2 linked regions of the Schizosaccharomyces pombe genome follow. The gene in region 2 interacts genetically with the main gene of each other region. Each region holds a gene or a part of one and is shown on either strand. Other genes may lie near its edges.

Evidence for each region.
Region 1: mutations in fio1 (region 2) and abc3 impair growth when combined (synthetic growth defect), as found in Schizosaccharomyces pombe (one study listed by BioGRID).

Annotation. Positions count from the first base shown.
Region 1 is NC_003423.3:120,830-128,097, reverse strand, and holds abc3 (multi drug resistance-associated protein abc3), read right to left. Parts: upstream 5,457-7,268; 5' UTR 5,352-5,456; coding exon 954-5,351; 3' UTR 637-953; downstream 1-636. UniProt on the Schizosaccharomyces pombe protein: Iron-regulated vacuolar transporter that mobilizes stored heme from the vacuole to the cytosol in response to iron deficiency.
Region 2 is NC_003424.3:4,232,988-4,238,468, reverse strand, and holds fio1 (Fe transporter/Cu oxidase Fio1), read right to left. Parts: upstream 3,398-5,481; 5' UTR 2,831-3,397; coding exon 962-2,830; 3' UTR 595-961; downstream 1-594. Other genes in the region: Fe permease Fip1, read left to right, coding at 3,973-5,166. UniProt on the Schizosaccharomyces pombe protein: Could be an iron transport multicopper oxidase, which is required for Fe(2+) high affinity uptake. May be required to oxidize Fe(2+) and release it from the transporter. Essential component of copper-dependent iron transport.

The sequences.
Region 1 (7,268 bases), on a different chromosome or scaffold from region 2:
AAAAGTAAAGTACTCTCTACACTTCAAATGAAGCAAATTATATAGGTTTTTTTCGTGCTTCTTTTCATGTTCCTTTGTTCGATTTTTTATTTTTTTATTGACTGCTCTGAAAGGCATTTTAAGGAAAAATATTTTATTTTTTTGGAAGCAATGCCTTTAAGTTCACTAGATCGTTCTGGAGCGATGTAGCTTGGTATTGAATTTGTAAACATTAGTATATTCCAAAATGTTACCCTAAAAGTTTAGAAAGAAAATGTACGCAATGATGTTAAGGCTGGTGCTAACTTTTGATAGAGACGTTAGGACTTAATAATTACAACTTTCGTTATTCCGCCGAATTTAATTTTATGAATTGCTACGGTACCAGAATATTATCGTTCTATTTGAGTTAACAGGAAATCTAATACGCGAATGAAACTAGTAAAGTCTAGGTGAATGTCAATTTGACGAAGCATTGCACGGTTTTGCAACGATATTTTATTTGATATAAAGCCATATTTTTTAACACTCTAATTTCAAGTAAACATCTAATCATACTTACCCTCCTCGAATGCTAACGCTTTTTTTTCTTAGAAATTTGATCACTTTATATCCCGAAGCCTTTACGTTTGATTTTCTTTTTAATATACTGTATGAGTTATTTTAAATCTATTTGTTGTACTGCGCCATATAATCTAATCATATTCATTTCCAAAAATTTAAGTATTCATTCATTACCACAAGAATATCAGGCTAAACGTACAAAGAAGAGTAGATAACCAAAAAGTTAGCGAATTAAACCGTAGATATCAGTGATACTGCTTTTACGAACAAAATTATCATGTAAACATAAAGAAAACTTCATTTTGTATATATATATTTTTCTGAACGTGTAAAAAACCAATAGCTTCAATTGCAAGTATGATATGATATCTAGATTTATTGTAATACAGGTAAAGAACGATTAAAAATTATTAAATGAGACCGCTTTCTTTAGCCAACGAATAAAACATCGAGTCTTTGTTTTCCAACAATTTTTTAGTTGCATCAAATTCAACCACTTTTCCATGATCTAAGACTAAGATGCGATCTGAATCCATTACCGTATTAATTCTATGTGCAACTGTTAAAATTGTACGATCTTTGAAGCGTTTGCGAATGGTCTGCTGTACAATAGCATCAGTTTCAGCATGGACTGATGCTGTTGCCTCATCCAGCAATAATATACGGGTCGAAGTAAGTAAAACTCTTGCTAAACATATTAATTGGCGTTGACCAGACGAAAAATTTGCACCTCCTTCAGCAACCCTAGAATACAATCCATCTTCCAACTGAGAAATGCAGTTTTTTAGAGAAGCAATTTCTAATACCTCCCAAATTTTTTTATCAGTTAGTCTATGATTCGGATCAAGATTTTCTCGAATGTTGCCCTCAAATATTTGACTTTCTTGTGGAATGATAGATAATCGCGAGCGCAAGTCGTATAATCCAAATTTCGTTATGTCTTCGTTATCTATTTCAATTTTTCCTTCAGTTGGTTCAATTATTCTAAACAATGCCATCGCCAAAGTTGATTTTCCTGCCCCGGTGCGACCGACGATACCGATCTTTTCCCGTGGGGAAATTTCAATGTTAATGTTATTTAAAGCAAAGGATAAGTCCTCACGATATTTAGCACTATAATGATTGAAAGAGACTGCCCCATCAGTGGGCCATTCACAAGGTGGTCGATTCTCTGGAATAATTTCCGGTGCTTCACTCTTAACATTAATGTATTCTAGAATTCTCTCTACAGAAACAGTGTTATTTTCAGCATCAACAGATTGCTGCACTATAAATGAGAGACCTTGAGTAATTTGTATTGCATATGACAGCGAAAAACCCACTAAGCCCGGGTTGGGACTACCTTTAATTGCAGAAAGGATTCCATAAAATGCTGTACAAAAAATGATTAAGTCTCCAATGCATTCCACTCGAATAGCTTGCCATCTACTGGAACTGAAAAACATGAACCATACACGATGATTGGTATCAATTCGTAGGTCATTTTCTTCAACGAAAGTCTCTTGCATACCGTACGCTCGGATTGTTGATAAACCGCTTAATGATTCTTGAACATGTGCGTATAAAGGACTTCTGGTGACATTATCTAGTCTTTTTAATTCACGTGAAGTTCGCACATAGTAAGCCCTATTATAAAGATACAGAAAAAACAGAGGAACTATCAGAAGTAAAGATAATGGTGCAGAATAGCAGATAACTCCCAAAATGAAGAGCACTTGAATTGAATTTCGAAAGAAAAACATAAATGTCAACGAAACTACTTCATCAACTTTGTATACATCGTTCGAAAATCGGTTTAAGATTCTTCCACTAGACGTGGTTTCAAAAAAGCCCATCGGAGCACGCAAAATCGTCTTAAGCATTGAATCATGCAAATATCGACCGCTTCGTATACCGCACAACACCGTCATAGTCAAGCTACTACTTGAAATGAAAGCACATGATAAAAATCCAAAAAATAAATAAATTCCAAGATAGAAATAAGGGCTAGGGTTAAGTTCTGAACTTGATTTTCCATTTTCTTCACTCCAATGTTTCAACCAAACATTGGTTGCGACGTTCATCATTATACCACTTATTATGAAGAAGAAGTATAGTAAAATTAAGCCGATGGAACATGATTTAAAATACATCCAATATACATGCCATTTAACCTTACCGCGTTGAACAAGTTCATCAGTTTGAGCAACACACTTTCCCTTATCATCTTCTGTCACTTTTTGGCGGATCGGATTTCTCTTTCTAGATTTATACTTATTAGAACTATCTTTTCTTTCACTTGAAGAATACGTTTCTAAGCCTTCGACATGAATTGAAGGAGCCAAAGAAATTTGAGTACTTGGATACGATGTAGTATGTTCGGGTAAAGGCTGCGTGTCCTTCTCATCGTTGAACTCCGATAGTTGTTGTTTTAGCTCAGAATTTGTCGAGACAAATAAGTGCTCATAGTTTCCTTTTTCAACAATTTTTCCATTGCTTAATATATAAATTGAGTCTGCTTCTTTAAGCACATTTAAAGAATTTGTTGTAAGAACAACACAGTGCGTCCTCAAGAAACCTTCTGGACCAAAAAGATTTTTAATTAAATCTCTGCTTACATGCTGATCTACGGAAGACAAAACATCATCGAGAAGATAGATGTCTGCTTGAGAATATATTGCACGAGCAAGTGAGATTCTCGACTTTTGACCCCCCGACAGCGATGCACCTTTTTGGCCGACTTCCGTTTGATCCCCTTCAGTAAATATTTCAAAATCACGTTTCAAGCAGCATGCATGAATGGTTTTCTCATACAATTCAGGATCAAATTCAGATCCGAAGAGAATGTTTTCCCGGATAGTTGCATCAAAGATCCATGGTTGCTGAGCTGCATAAGCTAGTGAACCACATTGGAAAACAGAACCTGAATTTTTATACATATTCCCCATACATGCTTCTAGCAAAGAAGACTTACCCGCTCCAACTTTGCCAAATATGCAAGTCAGCTCACCATTTTTTGCGACAAAATTAATTTGACGTAAAGTTGGCGTTACTTGTTGCTTTAGTGTTTTTTTAGACCAACTGAAGGTGCCACTTTTAATTTCAAGACAAATTTCATGAGGAATCTCTGTAGCGGGAAATCGTTGTACCCCATTGTAATCCAATTCTTGTGCTATGAGAAATTCATATATTCGAGAAACGGATACAGATGCTTCCAACAAAGAACTAATTACTGTGGGTAACATGGCCAATGGGAATTGCAACAGGTTGAAAAGACTTACAGCAGGAAATACTATATCCGCAGTGAGAGCTTGAGTTTTCCCATGGAAAATAATAAAGGCTCCAAAAGCAACAGTTGTAACAATAATGGTAGTAAAAATCCAGGCAAAATCACCAATTGCAGTGATGAAACCAATTTTTTTTAACATACTTAATTCTTTAGTATTTCTTATATGCAGTAGCTTCTGAAGGAATGGGGTTTCCCATGCATAAAGTTTAATACTGCGTATATTATTGATAATTTCGGTCATCAATTTGGAACGGGAATCTTTGTTTTTCATTAAAATACTTTGAAACTTCTTGTACACATTGGCGACAATAATGTTGCATGGAAATAGTATAACGGATGCAGCGACACCCGTAAAAGCGCTATATCCCATAAGGTGGTATAAATTTGAAAGAGCTAAAGCAATTTGAAATGGACCTGAAACAATAATGAATAAATATATCGGCAGATCACTTATTTTTTGAGTATCGACAGCCATGTAATTTATTATATCACCAATAGATCGATTTTGGCGTGCTGAACTTGATAGAAGAAGAGATTTACGATAAATAGATGCAAGTAGTTCCGTTTTCCATCTCATTCCAAGCAACATAATAAGCTGATTATATTGTTGTAGTAATAAAGTTTGGAGGAAATTAGCGACAAGAACCAAGATAGCGATTATAAAACCTCTACTTGGGGATTCAGGATTGGGAGAAGTATAAGAACTAATAAAGAGAATGGTTTTCTGAATCAATGTTGGCTGAACAAAAGCAAGTACATCTTGAATCAACTTTGTGATGGTAATTAGAGCTACAAGTTTCCAATGATTAAAAAATAAAAGTTTCCATAAAAACAGACTTCTTCGTTTATTCTTCGAATGGTATATCCACCAGTCTTCAAAACCAATTATTAAATTGCCAGATCGCTCATCTGGAGGAAGTAGCCAAACATCAGATTCCTTTAAATAGTTAGTGTAACCAAATTTTATGAAAGAACTGATCCAAGAAAATGATAACTTTGAGAATATGTTCGCATATCGAACTTCAGAAGGTCTTATCCCCTTCTCTTCAACTTCGTTTGTATCATCAGAATACCAGACACGATTGCAAGGCGGGACATAAACCTCACTAATAAAGCATACGAGCGAGCAGAACAGAGTAATTAAAGTAAGCAACCGAGCCATACTGGTAATTGCAATATAGGGACTGAACAACAAAATCAAAAGTGAGGTAACTACTTTCAGAAGCCAAAATATCAATAGAGAAGCCATGGGAACTCTTAGAGTTGATTGCTCAGCAAACTGTAAAAATAATACGAAACAATAAGTTACAACTGAAAAAAAATTCCACCCGATGTTTTTTGTCTTATATCCCACATATATTTGTGTAATAATAACAAGTGCTATCGAAAAGAACTTCATCCAGATGGTCCAAAATTGCGAAAAGTGAGGACGAAAGATCCGTCTCCTAACGTCAAAAACATATTGTAAGCCCCCGCTAACTAAAGCGAATAAATTTGGGATAAGCAAAACCAGAGACAAGCCTTTGTTTGCGGTGATCATTACATGTATACTTATCCAAATACTTTATTAAAAGCGATGCTTAAGTCTTTCTATACAGGGCTAAGTAGAGTAATCGGAGCGCTATGTAGGATTCAAAATAAAGTTAATGTTAGGATATCAGATCACCATCTATAAAAGTGTTGGTAGTTGACTAATAACGTTTGCGCTGAATCTCATTATGTTGCTTAATAACATCTGATAAATTAATCGGAGTTAAATATTCTTGAACTCGGAGTTTAGATTCGACACCGGTCAAGTGTCTTCAGTCCATTAGGAAGGGCAAGCAAACCTCTAATTCACTGTTGTAGATGTGTTCTGTAATCAATAAAAGAGAAGACCTTGAAAGAATACCTACTGAGATTTTTTCATATTTTGTAGTTTTATGAAACGATATCATTTTAGAAATATCAAACTTTTAGATATAAACTATAGTTATGATTCTCGTCTTATAAACGCACCTGGATGTCTAGCGTTCCATCTAAAGTGAAACTTTGCGCATCTTAGCAATGTTTATCACGTTAAAAATTTCGAAGTTAATAAAACAGAAAAACTCGTCTATAGTACTTTCTCTAGTTTCAATAATACTTTATGTCAACAAGCAAAGCCTTAACTGAGGTGGTAAAAGACGACAAAGGAAGTCCTAAGATTAGGAAAAGTATAAGTATCCAGTATATAAAATTTTATAACTATAATTCTTTTCCAAAATAAAATCAAAAACAAACTAAATATAAAATGAAGCATAATTTCAGCTGTTTATTCGAAGATTGTCATCTTTGTGAAGTATGGATTAACATAAATTAGGCCTCACAACAATTAGTTGAACTCACTTGAATAAAAATTCTTACGAATGCAAATTTTGATCATTTGCATTAATTTTATATTCTTGATTGTAAACAAAACTAGTTAGGAAATTATAATGCTGAAGAAGAAGTAAAAAATATTTGATAATTCGATAACATAATAAATTGCTTGCTTTCTTTAAGATTTTCCCTATTTTTGTTCAATTTAAAAAAATGGGAAACAAAAGAAGAAAAGAAATTGATTCTATGTTTGTGTAAATATTCCTAAGCTTTTTATTTTTTATTAGCAAAAGTTAGTAACTTAGGATCTTCAAATTGCTTCAAGAAAAGTTTAAATAGTAAACAATACTCAAATTGACAAAAATACTATTAATATATATTACAAATCAATGATTTTCTGCTTGAAATGCGAAGATCTTAGTTTGTTAGCTTTTATAAGTTTGATATAAATAGACTGGTAGCTATATTTAGTAAGACAGACGTATTATACCATTTTAGCATTCAAAACAAAAACTAAGTGCTTCAATGACTATTTCCCCTTTTTAATAAGTTCAAACTAATGAGAACGGTCGTTGTTATTACCCCAGCCAATTTGCTTCCCGACGTTGCAAAATATCGAAATGTCTTTCTTTATGATTTTTTCTCCAATGACCCTACCTTGTTATTTTAGTCTGAACGGTCGAGCACCGCTACATGCTTAAGTTCATTGATATGTCTAATCAATTATGGTAAGCATAACTGCCAGCTACTCAACTAGAGAGCTGCCGAAGAAGAAGTAGTTCAATAATAAAAGGGTTCGACCTCTGATCTGTGCCATATAAATTTAGCAACAAATTTGAAAAGGTTAAACCCAATATACTAAAACGAGAACACAACAGATATCATTTACATAACTCGTGATTGTATCAAAGAAATCATAATTCAATCAAACTTCGATATCAATCGTAGATCCATGGGTAAGGCATAAACGAAATAATCTTAAATGGAAGAGATATTTGCAGGATATGTGCTTTTATGAAAAGCGCAGCATATTATGTAGGAACATCTCGTGGTAAGACTGGGATAATGCTTTGAAAAGATGAAAATAATAATACCGTAAAAACTTTCGACTAGTGAA
Region 2 (5,481 bases):
ATTGTATCAAGTTTCCAACTCCTTGCAGACGGATGCAAATTGGACGGTGCGCATCCATTTCATTTCCTATCTGTTGCGTAAACGCCCTTTCTACCAAAGTAGGTTTACTATACAACAATCATTAGAACGATAGTTAGGGATTGATAAAATTATCAACATATTGCGATAACTCTTTCCAATATGGTAATAGTCAAAGGTACCACTGGCATTTGAGTAATGGTTTGATATGCATACGTTTTCAATGTTTTTACACCCATTCATGTTTTCAATTCATCTTTGTTTTATGACCATTTTACTCTTGTCTCTACTGTATGCTTGTTATTAAAAAGGTCGTCAAGGAAGTTACTGTTTGATTAATTTTTCGTTAGACAAGCTAATCAAGCATTTCTTGTCATCTCGAACGAATAAAATCGCTTACCGACACTTTCTACATGACAATTCTTCACTCTTTTTTCCTCGTGAGCAATTTTCGCTTTCGCTTTGCCCTTCTATTCGCTTTTTCTCGTACATTTGTATCTCGCATACTGCTGCTGCCTTTGCTTTGATCTACCTACCACAAAATATACTCATACCTACATGACAATAGAAAAACAATGGGGAAATTAAAAACTTTGATATTATGAAAAATGACTAATAGTAAAAAAAAAAATAAAGAAATCTTGCACTTTTTTCCAAATACAAAAATCCTTAAAGTATGTAAATAAAATGGAAAATATAGAAAAAAAAAATACAAACACACGCTCACAAAAATTCATTACTGGGGTTAGTCTTCCAGTAATTCATCGAATTGCATACACCTTACTTTGATCTTCTTCTTCTTAGGTGCTTATTAAGATAGTCGCGTATATCCGTTACTTCTTTTCCTTTCCTTTAAACAAACGTAAAACGGAGTAAAAAAAAAAGACACACCAACTGTAATTTTGGGGGTAGGAAACACATATTTTTCTTTCATCTCTTATTTTTATTTTATTTCATCTTTTCCTTCCACCACTTTCTCAACAGCTTTGTCAGTGTCCAAAAACATAGCTGCATTTTCCAATGCTGCCTCTTGCAGATCGTCATTCTCGTCTAACTCCTCCGTCGGCACTGGATGAATAGAGGCGCCGTAAAATATAATCGATCCCATGCCAATACAGGCTGAAATCACACATGCTGCCATTGTACCAATTGCCTTGCTAGTCCAGCCAGCTGGCATTTCACCGGGAGGAGACGGTGCACCAGACAAATCGGAAATATTCTTGTAGTTACCAGCACCATTTCCGATCGTTGGAACACCATCCAACATGCACTGCTCCTTCACAAAATCAGGACTGGAGATACTGGGTATCATCTCCGGTGCTTCAATAAACGTAGCTAATAAACCACTCTCCATATGCCATTCAATATGGCAATGAATAACCCAGGCACCTGGGTTATCGGCAATGAAACGAATGACAATGAAACTTCCCGGTTCGATTTCGACGGTGTCACGACGCATTGGATTGTCATAGTATGTGTGCGACTCTTGATCCGAGTACAGTCCGGCATTTTCTTCTCCACGCTCCAACACTTGAAAGGTGTGTCCGTGAAGATGGAAGGGGTGCTTTCCTGTATCGTGGTTGTCAATGATAACGTCCACCACATCACCATACTCGAAAATATATGCATTGGTATAGGGTCCATACGTGACGGGCTCCAAATTGTAGCCATCTACATTGGTGCTGTTGGCAATCATGATGGATGGGACCTTGGGGAACACATAGGATGAATCGTTGATTTCTGCATAGTTGGCACCGTCACCAAGGGTGAAAAAGTCAAACCATATGTTGATGGAATGATTGGATTCCGTGACATCCCAGCTATAGAGAGGATTCAACTCTGCGTCGTCGTAGGAATCGATTTCGTCAATGTCAGGCCCTAGATCGTATGAAGCATCTGAATTGTAAGAAAGCCAGGCCGTTACATTGGGGTTGTAATTGTCGGGAATCGTATCGAATAGCGACTCGTCCATGTAAGCGGTGATGGCATAGTTGCGATCGGTGGAATTCTTCGCTGTCACAAGCACACTGTAACGTTGAGCGACTGTAAGGTGGATGGAGCTAACCTCTTGAGGCTCTGTGTACTCGCCGTCCACTTCGATGATGGTCATGTTGTGATCCTCGATCATGACATCGTAGTTGTTGAAAGCGCCAATGTTGATGAAGCGCAAACGATATGTCTTACCAGGCTCCATGGCAAAAGTAGCGTTGGCAGTATCGTTGAAAAGACCGGTATCGGGGACTGGCTCGGCACCGGTGGGATTTTTCCAAGTTTTAAATTCATCGGGCACGAGAATGTTGAAAGGAGTATAGTACCAATCCGTCATGGAAATGATATACTCCTCATCGTAATCGTATGGCTCCTCCAACGCGTTGATGATAAAAGGGGTACGAAGGCCATCGGGGTATTGGGACATGTCGTGAGAATGAACCCAGTAGGTGCCATTCTGCAAAGCGGTATAGTTGTAGTAAAAAGTGGCACCAGGAGGAATTTCGCATTGAGTGCTTTGTGGCACTCCATCCATGTAAGGAGTGAACTTTTGAAACAAGCCATGAGAATGCAAAGAAGTAGTTCGATTATTGGCGAGGGAATTGGTCATCTTGATGATGACTTGGTCACCATAGTCGACGACAAGGGGATCGATGGGCCATTTGTTATTAACACCAATGACCCAGCGGGAATTTCCCGATCCATCAGGGTCGACGTCGTAAACGTCTGTGACATTCCATTCAAACAAGCGTTCCTTGGCGACGACGAAGCGAACGCATGTAAGAAGAAGGCCGAGAATGGGGAAGGAGAAAAATTTATTCATTATAGCGCGCAAGAGAGAAAAGAAGAATAAGGAAAGATATTAAAAAAAAAAAAGAACAGAAAAAAAAGAAATGAAAACAAAGAGAGAGAAAGGCAGAAAAAACAGCAGAAAAAAAAAGAAAGGGGGTGTACTTTTATCGCTACCGTTTGTCCAGTGATGGCTTTATAAGCAAGTCGTTTTTCAACAAAACCTACAACAAGTTGACTTGCGATTTCAACGTCGCTTTGACCAGCTATTGTTTTGCCTTTTGAAATTCTTGATCTGATATCTTTATACACTGACAAAGGCCCCCAACTTAATAACCACCAGCTTTCTTCTATGGCGATACGATACGATACGATACGATGCTATACCACGATATCGAACTGCACCCAACTAAATTCGCAACCACTTAGTGAGCTATTGTGGATCTTCTAACCAACTTTAATGGATCGGTTCGTCAAATCCTTAATTCGCAAAATCTTCTCACCTGCCTATATGTGAACGAGTCGAGCACCAAAGCAATCCAAACACAAGTCAAACACTACGCTACGGTAAGTTAAGTTACGGTACTTTGCGTAGAAAATCGAAATCCGCTCGCCCCACCAACCGAGTATATATAGGATGGAGGGTGTGGGTGGGGTCGCACCCTCCTCTTGACGCCATATCGGATAAAAATGAGATTGACCAGTTTGTCTCTGACAACAGAATAATTCATCAGATATGCTCCTTAGGGTAAGGCAAGATAGGACAGTTTTGGGGTCGGAGTTGGTGTCCACTTTGATCGGTTGCTTATCTACCAATCTGGACAAAAGTTATCAGATGTAATCCAGATGCCTGGAAGAAGTGGGTCAAACAGATTAAAAGGGCATGCTTCCCCCCGGCCTGTTTGCCCTAACGCGGTGAAAGGAACGAGACAAAGGACATTGGCCTGTGGCTTGAGTTTTGTAGTGGATCGCTTGAAACGACTGTACACTTGCACATTCAAAGTACATTACATTGCATTGAATTGAAAGGCATCGCACTGCATCGCATTCTATACCCGTTGACAAATTGTGGAAGGATACAATTCGTATTGAAAAGGTTTGAAATTTATTTCATTTTATTTTTTTCTCTCTCTCTCTCTTTCTTTCTTTTCTTCTCTTTTACCCACCTTCTCTACCATGGCAAAAGACGTCTTTTCCGTCGCTATCTTCTTCATCGTCCTTCGTGAGACCCTTGAGGCTTCCATCATCGTCTCAGTCTTGATGTCCTTCATCTCCCAAACACTCATGGATAAAGATGGAAACGTGACGGATCCAAAACTAAAGCGAAAATTTATGCTGCAGGTTTGGATCGGTTCGTTTACTGCTTTGTTCATTTGTTTAGCCATTGGCGGTGGCTTTATCGGTGCTTTTTATGCCCTCGACAAAGATATTTGGAGTGGTTCCGAAGAAATTTGGGAAGGTGTCTTCTCTCTCATCGCTGTCGTCTTGATCACCGTAATGGGGTTCGCTATGCTTCGTGTCTCGCATTTACAGGAGAAATGGCGCAAGAAACTTATGAAAAGTATCGCCAATCGCAAGGCCAAAGGTATCTCCAATTGGGGTAAAAAGTATTCCATGTTTCTCCTTCCCTTTTTCACCGTTCTGCGTGAGGGTTTGGAAGTCGTCGTCTTTGTCGGTGGTGTCGGTTTGGAAACACCTGCCACCGCTTTCCCTCTTCCAGTCATTTGCGGTCTCATCGTTGGTTGTCTTATCGGTTACTTTATCTATCGTGGTGGTAATGTGATGAACTTGCAATGGTTCTTGATTGCCTCAACATGTATCCTCTACCTTATCTCCGCCGGTCTTATGTCCAAGGCCACCTTTTACTTTGAAATGAATAAGTGGAATCATCAAACTGGTGGTGATGCTGGTGAGCTCGGTGATGGTCCCGGTTCCTATCCCTTCAAATCCGCCGTTTGGCACGTCAACTATGGTAATCCAGAGATGAATTCCAATGGTGGTTACATGATCTTCAATGCCATTCTAGGTTGGAACAACACTGGTACCTATGGTTCCATCCTTAGCTACATCATCTATTGGCTTTTCGTAGCCTTCATCATGTTCCTCATGTGGTACAAGGAACGTCGTGCTGCAAGACTCCTTATTGCCAAGCTCGGCGACAAAGTTGTCGACTTGGAGGCTGCCTCTTCACACACTCCCGTGCAATCCTCCTCCTCTGAAGATGAATTCAAAATCAATTCTCCTACCGATGATAAAGGCGACAAAGCCATCGATATCGTTACCGAAGTTCGCGAGTCTTCTTCTCCCGTCGAAGAACATAAAGACGACAAAACTGTCGATGTCATCAATGAAATTCGTGAGTCTCATTAAAGTAGTCATGCTTGAACGAAAAATCTTGTTATTCTTTTTTTCCCCTCCTTTCCCAAATTCCCCCTACAATTGATTTTGTTTCTCTTTGCAAATGAACCCACTACTGATATCTCTCTTTGCATTCGTTTGCTGTTTTTGCTTAATGTCACCTTGTATGGGTAAATTCTTCCCTCCCCCGGGTCTTCCTGATTTTCTTTTTTTTTTATTTGGGTCCTAACTTTCAATATTTCCCTTTTATTCTTTTCCTAATTTAGTCAAAGCACAGGTTGTTTTAATAATTCATTTCTTTAATGCATATCTATCTATCTATCCATC